Tamandua tetradactyla: one gene and its partner. The protein of the gene in region 2 purifies or fractionates together with the protein of the main gene of each other region. This does not show direct contact. Links are inferred from orthologs where the notes say so. Each region holds a gene or a part of one and is shown on either strand. Other genes may lie near its edges.

What was found. The genes of interacting proteins can lie anywhere in the genome.
Region 1: the proteins of CTNNA1 (region 2) and CDH5 purify together in Homo sapiens (affinity purification with western blotting; 4 studies listed by BioGRID and IntAct, counting the BioPlex papers as one, with this or other methods). This does not show direct contact. The link is inferred for Tamandua tetradactyla from reciprocal best matches to the Homo sapiens genes CTNNA1 and CDH5.

What each region holds. Positions count from the first base shown.
Region 1 is NC_135342.1:59,934,056-59,940,402, reverse strand, and holds the start of CDH5 (cadherin-5), read right to left. Parts: upstream 3,657-6,347; 5' UTR 3,557-3,656; intron 1-3,556. UniProt on the Homo sapiens protein: Cadherins are calcium-dependent cell adhesion proteins. They preferentially interact with themselves in a homophilic manner in connecting cells; cadherins may thus contribute to the sorting of heterogeneous cell types.
Region 2 is NC_135346.1:18,443,475-18,449,821, reverse strand, and holds the start of CTNNA1 (catenin alpha-1), read right to left. Parts: upstream 3,821-6,347; 5' UTR 3,688-3,820; intron 1-3,687. UniProt on the Homo sapiens protein: Associates with the cytoplasmic domain of a variety of cadherins. The association of catenins to cadherins produces a complex which is linked to the actin filament network, and which seems to be of primary importance for cadherins cell-adhesion properties.

The DNA of each region.
Region 1 (6,347 bases), on a different chromosome or scaffold from region 2:
ACTGCTGTCTGTCAACCTGGCTTGGTCTCCACGTCTCATCTTGCCACTGGGTCCTTCCTACCTACTGGATTTAAGAATAAGTCTCCATATTTGTAGACAGCACCTTGTGTGGCCAAAACAGAGTTGCTCCACCCTCTCCCCAAATAGCTCCTCTGTTAGCCCATCACATTGTTAGACACACTGCCATTAGAATTTTGATCCTTTGGGGACAATGAAATTATACTTCTTAAGAGTTCCCGATGAACATGCATATACCCGTGTGCAGGCGGCCTCTAAGATCTGATTGGCAGAACAGCTCATGGATTACCTCTCACCCCTTCCCACACCTGTGACAGACATCACTAATCAATCAGTGTTGGTACCCACTGAACTTATACTCAGTCTCTGAATCTTTCTCAATGCAACTTTAGAGGTAGATTCCATCAATTCATCAGACCTTGTTTGCAATTTGAAATAAATTGTGCCAGGGTCTTTGAGTCCCAGAGGTCATCTAATCCAACCTCCTGTCTCCTAATAGGACAGCTCCTTAGCTTCAAGAGGAGAACACCCATTGTAGCAAGCTCCTCTGGGGCTTTCCTGACTGGGAACCTGTGTTGGGGTTCCTGACTCACCTGCTACACTCCCCACAGGACTGAGAGTTGAGGGATTGGGAGGTGTAACAGAACAACTCCAAAGACTTGCCTATTGGAACTTGTTAATGAGCTGTGTGACCTTGAGTCCTGCCCTTGCCCTCTCTGAACAAGAGACCTCATTTGTGATGGAGGCAACAATAACTGCCTCTCTGGTCAGGAGGACTCAATGAGATCATGCGTGTGAAGCCCAGCTTGCAGTGGGTCCTCAGTAAGTGGGTGATGTCGGGACCCCCGTCTACCTACCCATTCCAGCCTGAGGCCTGCGGGCTCAGCTGGTTGACTCACACCCAACCCTATTTCCTGCTTCTATCCTCACCCACCTCCTACTGCCCTCTGTTCTCCAGAAGGAAACTTCATTCACTTTCTGCCTGTCCCTGTCCCCATGGGCCCCACTTCCTTCTCTTTCCAGCATCTGCACTTGCCTGCATGTGACTGTTACTGCTGTGGCCCAAAGCAAAAAATTTGGGGGTCCCTGAATGAGCTTAGAAACTTTGGGGTCCATCCCTTGCTCTAGAGAGATAGGAAAACTGAGGCCCAGAGTGTGGAAGGGCTGTCCAAGGCCCCATGGCATCTGAAGCTCCTGTTCTTCCTCCAGGCAGCCCTCTGTGATTTCTCCATGTGACACCAGCTTAGGCCTGGGTTGGCATGGTGTTTTGTCATCTCCTTAGCCAGACCCCAAGCCCCTGTGTGCAGACCCAGTCCCCTAGGACATTCCTTCCTCAGCATCGTCAGGTTCCTGGCTCGTCCTCCTGCCTGCTTCTGTGGCCTGAACAATCAGGTTCATGTTTCCCTGACTTTCTTTCTCTTTGAGTTCCATCTGGGAGTGTGGCAATGGCTGTGGGGTCAGAAGGGACAGAGACTCATTTGTGTCCTGCTCCCGCCTTGTACTAGCCGTGTGGCCTCAGACTGTCCCATCTGTCAAATGCAACTTCTTGCAGGCATGCCTGGGGTTGCAGAGAGGTGATGGAAGTAGGAGGGATGGGTCCACCCAGGCAAGAGCCCTGAGAATTTTCCTGGGCTGGTGGCCGCTGTGTCCACTGTGCGTCCCCAGGCCAGCAGCAGAGCTATGAGTCATCCGACTTTGGGAGAAAATACGTATGGCCCCTGCAGCTTCCTGCCTTCATGTCCGGCTCTTGTTCAGCAGCACAATTGGTCAGGTGGAGACCGTAGGCAGCTTAACCCCTTCCCAGGCGGTAGACACTTCTTCCCCATCAGCTGGGATTGGCAGTGCTGTTTGGGGGCTCAGCAGCTCCTTAGACCCTCAGAGGGGCACCTGCTGCCCTCCAGGGTGGGGGTTTACAGGTGAGCTGGGTGCAGGCCGGGCAGAGGAGACACTCATGGCTGCCTGGGCTGGAGGGTGAACCAAAGCTCCTGGTCCTGGCATGTGTGGTCTGCAGTGCCACCAGTCCTGCCTCCTCTCTCCCTGGTCTAAAGAACACTTTGGCTACACCAGACTCCCGAGTCCTCTCAGCGGCCTGGGCTTTCCCGGCTCCCCAGGCATGCCCTTTGTCTCCTGCCAGATCCTATATGCCCAGCACACGCGGCAGGAACCGTGTCCTGCCCTCGCCCCCTCCGGAGGATGAAGGTGGGTGCTGAGTACAGGGCCGGGCATGGAATAGTTGCCCTCCTGAAGTGCCTGCCAAGGAACGGGTGACTGGCCAGCGTCTCACCCGCATCTCCCAGCGACCCCCTTGCCAGGGGCGGGCCTGGGGACCAGTCACGACACCCTGGGCCGTGCCTCAGGTGCCAAAAACACCTTTACAACATTCACAACCATGCCAGCCACCAGCCACGATTCCTTAAAGGTCCCCCTTCTGTGCACTACTCACATGCGGGGGGCTGAGCACCCCATCATTTAACTGACTCCTGAAAAGACTCTTTCCTCCGTTTTACAGAAAACGGACTTGTAGAAGCTACGGGGTGCTGGAAGAAGCCTGAATTTAGGGTTCTAGTTCGAATCCCCCTCCACTTCTTACGTCTCCACAGCTCTGCTGCCTCCACCAAGAAGGCTGATCATAGTAAAATAACGAACCCCATTTCGGTGGGCGTCACCTCTAGTTCTCACAATGGATTGCAACAAGAGTCTGTCTCTCTGTTGTTCAGACAAGCAGACTGAGGTTTGGAGGCTTCAGGTGACTTTCCCGAGGTCCTGGGGGAAGTGAGGGGAAGGCTGAGCTCTGCTCCCAGGTCCACTGTCCCCAAGCTGGGGCCCTGCAGGTCTTCCGGGCCTCCTGGAGAAGTGAGGCCACAGGGCCTCAGGCCCCAGCCCTGGGGATCTGCACTTTGGGGGGGGAGGGGTAGGGGTGGGCGGCTTTCCTGACAGCAGCTCTCATGGCCTGAGGGGACCTCTGTGGCGTTGGGGGCAGGGAGAAACCACAGGTAGGGCCTCAGGAGCTCAGTGCTGAGCCTCGGCTTGCCTATCCTGAAAATAGGGGCACTGGCTAGTAGAGATGGCTGAGGCTTAGAGCTCCCCCTTTGGGGCTCCTTCGCCCATCCTTGTGCAGACCTGAGACCAGTGGGAGGGAGTGAACGGGGCTACAGGCCGAGGTAAATCCTTTCCTGTCGGGGAAGGAAGGGACGGGGAAGCCAGGCCCTGGGTGCCAGTCTTCTACCCTTGGTGTGCCCGGTGACTCGGGGACAGTCCCATTCTCTCTGGGCACCAATAGAACCAGTGGTCTTCGAGGCTCAGTGGGCCCCGGGGACCACGCCGAGCTGGGGAGCCCATCTGTGGGTGGGCTGAATGCGCCCCCCCCCAGCACCTAGAACCGCTGTGTGTACCTGCGGCAGGCACCCTTCCCAGCTGAGCCTGGGGAGGCCCCTTCTGCCCTGGGGGAACCCAGCAGTGTCCATTCCACAGATCGGGAAGCTGAGGAGCCTCCATCCTGGGCTGGGGGTGGGGTGGGGTGCGGGAAGCCCTCACTCACCGTGCCTGGGGGCCGAGCAGGGCCTCTGTTCTGTCTGACCGTCTGTCCTGGGCTGTGTGTGCTGTGGAGCTCGGCCGACCGCCTCTCGAGGGGAGCCACACCCGGCCCGGCGAGGGAGGCCGGGCCGCCGCCCCTTCAGGTTTTCCAGCTGGCCTGGACCCACTTCCCCCTGGGATGGCTTCCTGTTATTGTTCCTTTGTGAGCCGGGGCTGGCTGCAGATAGGCAGGCCCGGCCGGGCTGTCCCCCCGAGGCCGAGCCTGGGACCTGGCTGAGGGAGCTGAACTCAGACCCCCACCTCCAGACTTCAGGCTCCGGAGTCCAAGCACGGCACTTGCCGAGGGCCTGGCCTAACCCTCACTGTCACCCTGAATGCAGGAATCCTCACCCTCGATTTACAGCTCAGCGAGTTTAGGACGCTTGTCCACCTAGCTGGGGTAACGTAGAGCTCCAAATCAAGCTTGAGACTTCTTCTGGGACCTAGGATATGCTGGGGAGCAGGGGAATGAAGAGGGGTGACTCCAGGCAATGGGGAGAGTTCAGGGGCCTCAGGGTTGGGGTGAGTGGGAGGCAGGAAACAGCCACTTTTGGCTCTGGAGAGACCGGTGGGCCCCTGATGGGGATGGGGGTGAGTGCCAGCTCTGAGGCGCCCACCACTGTTGGGGTTTAGTAATATTGGGTGGGAGCCAAGCGTACTGGCTTTGCTTCTGGTGTTCCATGGCCTAGTAGTACCCCTCCCTGAGCCTCAGCTTCCTCATCTGTAAAATGGGCATATATATATATGCCTCAACTTCACAGGTTATTGGGATAAATAAGAATCAGAGCAGGGCTTAGAACATAGTGATGCTGAGGGTGGGAGGGGTGCCTGCCTGGGGCCTGGGGGGTGCAGTGGAGGTCCAGATTCTGTTAGCTGTGAGAGCCATCTGGGGGCTTTTAGAAACCACAGGTACCTAGACCTGCCGCTCCCTCCCCCCAACCAGCTGATCTGGAATCTCCCTGGCCAGGCCCTGGGAATCTGTCCTTGGCCTAGAGGCCCCTGGCTTTCCATAGATGAACGGTGGGAAATCCTGAGCTTGTCCCATCATACAGCTGGATAAACAGAGGCCCTGAGAGGGGGGCCCGGCCCCAGGACTGTATGGAGATGCGGGATGGGCTGAATTGGTGTTTGGGGGCGGGGAGGGGATATAGATTTTTCTGTTCTGGGCATGTTAACTTGAGGATGCTTGTGAGACGTCCCCTGGGAGAGGGCAGGTTGGCAGCTGGATACGCCGGCGGGGTTGGGCCTGGACAGGAGCTCTGGAAGCCTCGGGCTCGCGGCCGGCACCCGGGGCCTGGGAACGCACGCGATTTCGCGGAGAGAGGCTCAGATCGCACGGTCGAGAGGGACCCGCGGGGAAGGTGGAAACGCAGCAGCGGGAAGCTGCCGAGGCCGCGTGGATGGGCGCTGCGGGAAGCGAAGGGCTCAGAGCTGACCGCTGGATTGGAAGATGGAGGTCATCGATGACTTTGACCAGAGCAGTTTGAACGGAAAGAGGTAGGCAAGAGCGAGCGGAGGGGCTAGTGACGGGGGGCGCGGCAGTGAGAGGCCATGATTTCCGCTCCTCCCCCAAGCCTTGCAGTGAGCGGGAGCACGGGCCCGGGAGGTGGGTTTTGTTGTTGTTGAAGCAGAAAGCACGGGCAGCCTGTTTGCGAGCTGAGGGAAGACGGTGACGCTGGAGAGGAAAGAGCCACCTGCTGGAAGGAGAACGGTCCTCGAGGCGGGACTTGGAGTGGGATTCAGTAGGGCCAATCAAACGGTCAATCACTGTTTGTGGAATGAGCAAACAACAGCTCAGCGTTTCCTTCCCCTGCAGGATTAACTCTGCCTTCTCCTGCCTGGAGCGCGGAGTGGTCCCGGAGGAGCCAGGCCAGGCCCGCCGGCGCGCCAGCCTCTCGTGCGCAGCCGGTGCCTGCCCCCACCCCCGCCGCTGCCGCCTGCTGTGGCCCTGGACCGCGTGCCCATGGGGACACGTCTGGCCTGAGCGTCGCCTCCTGCCGGGGCTCAGATTAGGCGCTGCTGGCAGACAGGGACGGCCCGTCCTGGCACTGTCGGCCAATTCCCTTTGTACTCCCTGTCCAGGGGGAAGTTGATCCTGCCCTGAAAACCTGCAGTTCCTGCCAGGAGCAAGGGTATGGCCAGCCTGAAACTTGCCCACTGGACCCAGGGGGATCTGGGTCATGGCAGCCAGGGTAGCCGCGGGAGGGGCCCCCTGAGGATCTCGGCCTGATTCCTGGCACTACCCAGCCCCTGCCCCAACCCTTCTCGAGGCAGAGGAGGTAACGGGAGGGATCAAGGCCAGGAAGTGCCATCTGGAGTGAAGGAGGCAGGAAACGGGATGGTCTGCAGAGACCTGATTAGCAGCCGGAGGAAGTGGGGGGTGGGAGAGGGCAACAGCAAGGCCCAGGGACGCCCACCCACCCTCTGCCAGGACAAAAGCTGACTGGGGGTGGGGGGAGTCCGTGGCACCCCACTTGGATAGGTTCAGGCTGGGGGGCTTGGCAGACCCAAGCTCAGACCCAACCGGGCCCGGTCGCTGCCTGCCGTGTGACCTCGGTGGCCAGTTTGCCTCTTGGAGCCTCTGTTCCTCACCCATGCCACGGGCTGTCCATTCATACTTTGCAGGACTGTCTGGAGGATTAAAGGAAAGCATGAAAATCATGACAACAAATGTTTATTGAGCAGGTGTTTCTTGACGTGTGGTGGTTGACCAACTGCCTCAGAATCTCTTGGGGAGGGACGAGTGTGCGTATGTT
Region 2 (6,347 bases):
GGAAGACAGAATAAAGTCATAAAGTATATAACAACATGGATGGACCTTGAGAACATTATGCTGAGTGAGATTAGCCAGAAACAAAAGGACAAATACTGTATGTCCCACTGATATGAACTAACATTAATGAATGAACTTGGAGAATTTCAGTTAAGAACAGAGGCCATCAAGAGATAGAAATAGGGAAGATTTTGGGTAATGAGAGCTGAAGGGATACAGACTGTGCAACAGAACTGACTAAAAATTCAGAAATGGATAGCACAGTACTACCTAATTGTAGCCCAATAATGTTAGTACAGTCAATGAAGCTGAATGTGAGAATGATAGAGGGAGGTGGGCTGGTGGCACAAATGAAGCCAGAAAGAAAGATAGACGATAAAGACTGAGATGGTATAACCTAGGAATGTCTAGAGCACATAATGACAGTGACTAAATGTACAAATTAAAAAATGTTTTTACATGAGGAAGAACAAAAGAATGTCCATATTGCAGGGTGTCGAAAATAGGTGGCCATTCATATTTTAAAACGTCAACTTATGTGTGAGACTAAAGAAAAAAATGTTTATATGGTACAAAATTTATTGACTACAGCATTTCCTAATATAACTTATATGGACAGTTTAATTGAACACCATAAGTACTGGAACCTTGAATAGGGCATGAGATTTTGTAGGTTTGTCCAAAAGGATGCCCTGATAAATCAAAAAGAGTGATCTTAACAGTAAATAAAAAAGTATTTGCAAAGTCCCCTTGGGGGAATGGTGAGAAAGGGGGAAAATTCAATCTCCCCATTTGGAGAATTCCTGACATTCTAGCAAGCAGTGAGGACAATCAAATCAATAGGCCAAGCCCTCAATCTTGGGGGTTATTCATATGAAACTTATCCCCATGAAGGATAGACCAAGCCTACTTAAAATCAGGCCAAAGAGTCATCTACCCCTAGAAAACCTCTTTTGTGCTCAGATGTGGTCTCTCTCTCTCTCAGCCAACATGACAAGCAAGCTCACCGCCTTCTCCCTCTCTACATGGGACATAAATCCCAGGGGTGTAAAGCTCCCTGCCAATGTGGGACAGAAATCCTAGAATACACTGGGACTTAGCATCAAGGATTGAGAAAATCTTCTCCACCTAAACGGAGGAGAGAAAAATGAGATAAAACAAAGTGTCAGTGACTGAGAAACGTCAAACAGAATCGAGAGGTTACTCTGGAGGTTATTCTTATGCCTTTTATAGATATCCCCTTTTTAGTTTAAGGTGCATTACAGAGACTAGAGGGAAGTGCCTGAAAATGTAGAGCTGTGTCCCAGCAGCCATGCTTCTTGAAGATGAACGTATCATGATATAGCTTTCACAAAGTGACTATGTGACTGTGAAAACTTTGTATTTGACGCTCCTTTTATCTACGATATTGACAGATGAGTAAAAAATATGGATTAAATATAAATAAATAATAGGGAGAACAAACGTTAAGATAAATTGAGTAGATTGAAATACTAGTGAACAACGAAAGGGAGTGGTAAGAGGTTTAGAAAAAAATAGGGGGACAAAGGTTAAAATCTGTTGAACAGATGGAAAAACTAGTGGTCAATGAAAGGGAAGGATACAGGGTTTGGTATGGTGAGTTTTTCTTTTTATTTCTTTTTCTGGAGTGATGCAAATGTTCTAAAAAATGATCATGGTTATGAACATACTACTATATGAGATGATACTGTGAGCCACTGATTATACACCATACATGCAACGTTTGTATTTTAAGAATGTTCATGTTTGTATGTTGTTTTGGTTTGATAATACAAAATAAATTAAAAAAAAAAAACCAAGATGCACAGGATAAAACCTTGGGTACAAGTGGATTAAAAAAAGAAAAGACTGAAAAGTAGTAACCAAAAGTATAAGGAAAACCAGGAGATCTGTCTCACAATACTCCCAAACTCCTGTGTTCTTTCATGCTTCTCACTCCCTCTCTTCAGCTGACAAAACCCTTCTCAAGTTTCAAAGGCCAGTCAAATATTTCATCCCTTCCTGGAAGCCTTTCCTGACTTCTCCAAATAAAACCAATTACCCTTCCCCATGTCCTCACAAGCTTCCTTTATTGCAAATATTATATAATATTTTATCTATACACAGTAGTTTCTCAATATTATTGCTAAGGCAGTTATCACAGTCTGCCTTATATTACACCGTGAACCCTTAGGAACAGAGAACATGGCCTATTCAACCCTAAGCCCTTTAAGAGGGGGGAAAATTATTTAACTTAATAAAAGTCAAGAAGGGTAAATAACTGGGCAGAGGCTAAGGATAGCTCCTCGGTTCATTCCTCTTGTAAAACAAAATAACGTACTTGAATTAATTTAATTTACAAGTTCACATTTTCTTAAAGTAACACACACCTGTATATCGTTTTGTTGTTTTTTTTTATTTTGTTTTGTTTTTTGCATGGGCAGGCACCGGGAATCGAACCCTGGTCTCCAGCATGGCAGGCGAGAACTCTGCTGAGCCACCGTGGCCTGCCCTGCAAATCGTTTTAAAAATCACTGTAAAACACAAAACAACCTCTCATCAAAACGTCTATCCTGTCACAATACAATGATGTAATCACTTCCTTCAACAAAAATATGAAACGTCCTTAGATTAACCGGGGACTTAAAAACACAACCTTTTCGAAATTATTGTAAATTCTACACAAAACAAATGCAGAAATGTTACAAAGCCGCAGGAGGACACAAGAGGATGTCAATCCTGGATTTGGACCAACTGACGCCTGCATTACTGGGAAGCCTTTAGTGCCAAGCCAAAATTAGGCATTCCGTCAAAATTTTTTCCAGCAAGTGCTTCTCCCCACCTCTTCACCCCCTACCCCACCACCACACACACACACACACACACACACACACACACGATCCTTTAAAAGTCTACAAGAATCTAATGCCACTTTTGAAAACTTGGACGAATCTGAATTAGGTGTGTCCAACTGACCAGCACAAATCTTGAGTAATTTCACAATAAACGGTACACGCCAAAAGTCCACACGGGTGTGGTGCACCTTATCAACAAGACTGTGTCAGGGAAAGGGAGAATTAAACTTTTATATCCGTTCGGGGCGGGAAATGAGGGTGCGCGGTCTCAGCAAAAGTTCTCAGTTCAACAGTCGGGGGAGTTTTAGCGGCCGGTGACGGAGAGGTGGGGCCAGAGAAAGCACAGAACCAAAGGATAAACACCACTGGAAAACTCAACTCCCGGGTCACACTCGCACAGGGAACAGCGCGCCGGCATTCTTTACCAGGCCGGCGGCCCCGGGGGCCGCGCGCGGGCGTGGCGCGCACACCGAGTCCACTCCAGCAAACTTTAGAAACCGGGAGAAACTTTTCCGGCAGGATACGCTGAGCTGCGCGAGGCCTGCGACTTCCTCTCCTCCGGCCGCGGCGGCCCCTCAACTTCCCGAGGCCGGGAAGCGCGGGCCCCGCCCGGCCAGGCCGCGGTACGGGGGCCACGCAGGGAAAGCGGCTGCGGGCCAGAGGCCGGAGACTGGCCTCGCGCCCCACCCGGAGCCCAATCCTGGGCAGGGCGGCGGAGGATACCGCACCCCACCCGCCAGCGGGGCCCCGCTAGGGGCGGCCCGGCCCGAGGACCCCCAGAGCCCCTGCAAGGGGCCCGTGCCGGCGCGAAGGGAGGCGCCAAGAGAGTTACCTGGGGCGAGCAGAGCGAGCGCAGGAGGATCCCGAAGCCCGAAGCCGACGGCCACCGCTTTGTCTCTCTCCCGTCCGGCTCCGAAGAGGAAATGGGCCGTCAGGCGCCCCCGCCCCCCGCCCCGTGGCCCGGGCCCCGCCCGCCCTTCCCGGCGCCTCCCTCCGACGCGCTCTTCCCGGAGCCTCCCGCCGCCACCGCCCCCAGGCCCGCGCTTCCTGGCCCTGCCCGACTCCCGCTTTGTAGGGATCCGGACTGCGAAGACAGCCTGGCGAGGCCAGGCCGGGACCTCTTCCTCTCGGTCCCCACCCCAGAGTTACTTTCTCCCAGGCCCCTAGTGGGCGCTCAGGCTGAGTGACCCTGAGAGGAAGGAGGAGCAGCGACTCCTGGAAGGCCCCCGCGGGGGATGGGGGGAGGAGGTGAGTCACCGCACTGCGCACAGGTGAGGCTCAGGCCCCGCCCCGGCCGCGGCCCGACGACCGGGCGCGGCGCCTCCGGGTCCTGGGAGCGCTCTCCTGCGTCACAAGTGTCCCAGAAAAGTGCTCAGAGTCCACCCTCTGGTTTTACCAAAAGAGAAACTGTGGCTAAGTAAAGGTCCCGCAGTGTAAGGCAGAGTGTAATAGAAACCGACATAAACTTAAGAAACCTAGATTCTATCCCTATCCCTCTGACCATTTAGAAGATTTTATTCCCACCCTATGTTCCTTATCTTCACGGTGAATACTCCTAAAAAGAAAATACTACAAAGCAAACAACAACAAAAATGACTACAGCTTGCTAATTAACCTGAGATAGGAAACCCTGATAATGTTTCTCCTCCTGGGATGATGAATAAGGTTGATTTCAGCATTGGCCTTTGAATCCGAAAGTAACGATATCCATTGCTGACTCTGCACTGAGCAAGCTGTGTACGAGAGACCTACCCTCAACATGCTCACCATCTATTATTAACATCTCCCTCTTCCTCCAAGGAATGAAAACTTCGGAAGGATGGAAGCCGTGTCCTCTAGCACAATGCCTGTCTAGTGAACATGTCTGGGTAAACTGCCCAATGTAACTCAAAGTATGATGGGTTTGTGCTAGTTAAGAGATGCTGACAAAGGACAATAGAATCATGAGGGAAGGAAAGAAAGATATTTAAGCAAAAGGCATATCTTGATAAGGCCCTTCTGGTCCTGCTACACCGCAGGCTGTTTCTGGCTTCAGGGTCTTTCTCCAGTAGTCCCCTCTGCTGGGAGTGGCCATGCCTTCCCCCACTTCACCTGGTTACCTCAGAACATGGTAATCAATCAATAAATATTTGTTTCACCTATCAAGAGAAAAAGCAAAAGGATTATGTTCCATAATTTTGTATATCCCTCACTTCACTCAGGACCAGCTACTTTATTTGTGGGGTCCCTTGCACAAATTAAGAATTTCAAGAGGGTGACAGTAGAGCATTAAACCAAGCATCAGGTCTTTCTAAGCATGGGGCCTTTCTAACTGCAGGGCCCTGACTTCCCTTGCTGTATTTTACCTACCTGCATTTATACATCTGGGTCCCACAACAAACTGAGACATTCTTCAAGGGCAGAGACTAGTCAAATGGTAGATAACTGTTTCTTGAATGAATGAGTGACTGTCATTGATCTTGAAGAATGGATAAGATTTCGAAAGAGAGAAATGAAGTCTTCCAGGTGGAGAGTTCATCATAAATAAAACTAGAATTGAAGATCAAAGTGCAGGGTTTGTTTGGGAAGAAGGGTCCAAATGAGAGACTTGCAGTGTGTCCCTTAAGCTAAGGGAAGTCAGTTCCCTATCTCCAAAAAAATCTGAAAAAGCTTCCTGGAGGAAACGAGCCTTCACCATGTCCTGGGCATTTGCTACATGCTGAGGAAGCATCAGCGAATAAAAAATTGACTTGATCTCTGTTCTCACACAACTTAAAATGTGGTGGAGGAGGCAGGTGTTAAAACAAGTAAACTACTAAAAAAATGGAGGGGGGTGGGAGAGAGTGTGAAGCCAGGGGCTGGAGATATAAATAGATTTGGGGGAAAATTAGCCTAGTTTGGGGGACAGTGACCTGACCAAGTACCCTTTATACTATACTCCAGGCAGGCTTTAGCACTCACCTCCCCATCGTAACTGCTTTTATCCAGGTCCCAATGACCTCCACATTGCCAAATCCAGTAATCAATCTTAGTCCTCAACTGACTTGTACCATTAGTGGCATTTGTTCATTCTCCTCCTTGAAATGCTTTCTTCACTCCCCCTCCAAGGCACCAAGTGCTTCTGATTTTCCTCCCAGGCTGCAGCTTTAGTCTCCTTTTTTTTTTTTCTTTTTTTTTTTTTAATTAAAGAAAAAAAAGAAATTAACACAACATTTAGAAATCATTCCATTCTACATATGCAATCAGTAATTCTTAATATCATCACATAGATGCATGATCATCATTTCTTAGTACATTTGCATCGATTTAGGAAAAGAACTAGCAAAACAACAGAAAAAGATATAGAATGTTAATATAGAGAAAAAAGATAAAAATAATAATAATAGTAAAAAAAAAAAGAAAAAAGACAAACAAACAAACAGACAGACAAAAAAAAAACCTATAGCTCAGATGCAGCTTCATTCAGTGTTTTAACATGATTGCTTTACAATTAGGTATTATTGTGCTGTCCAT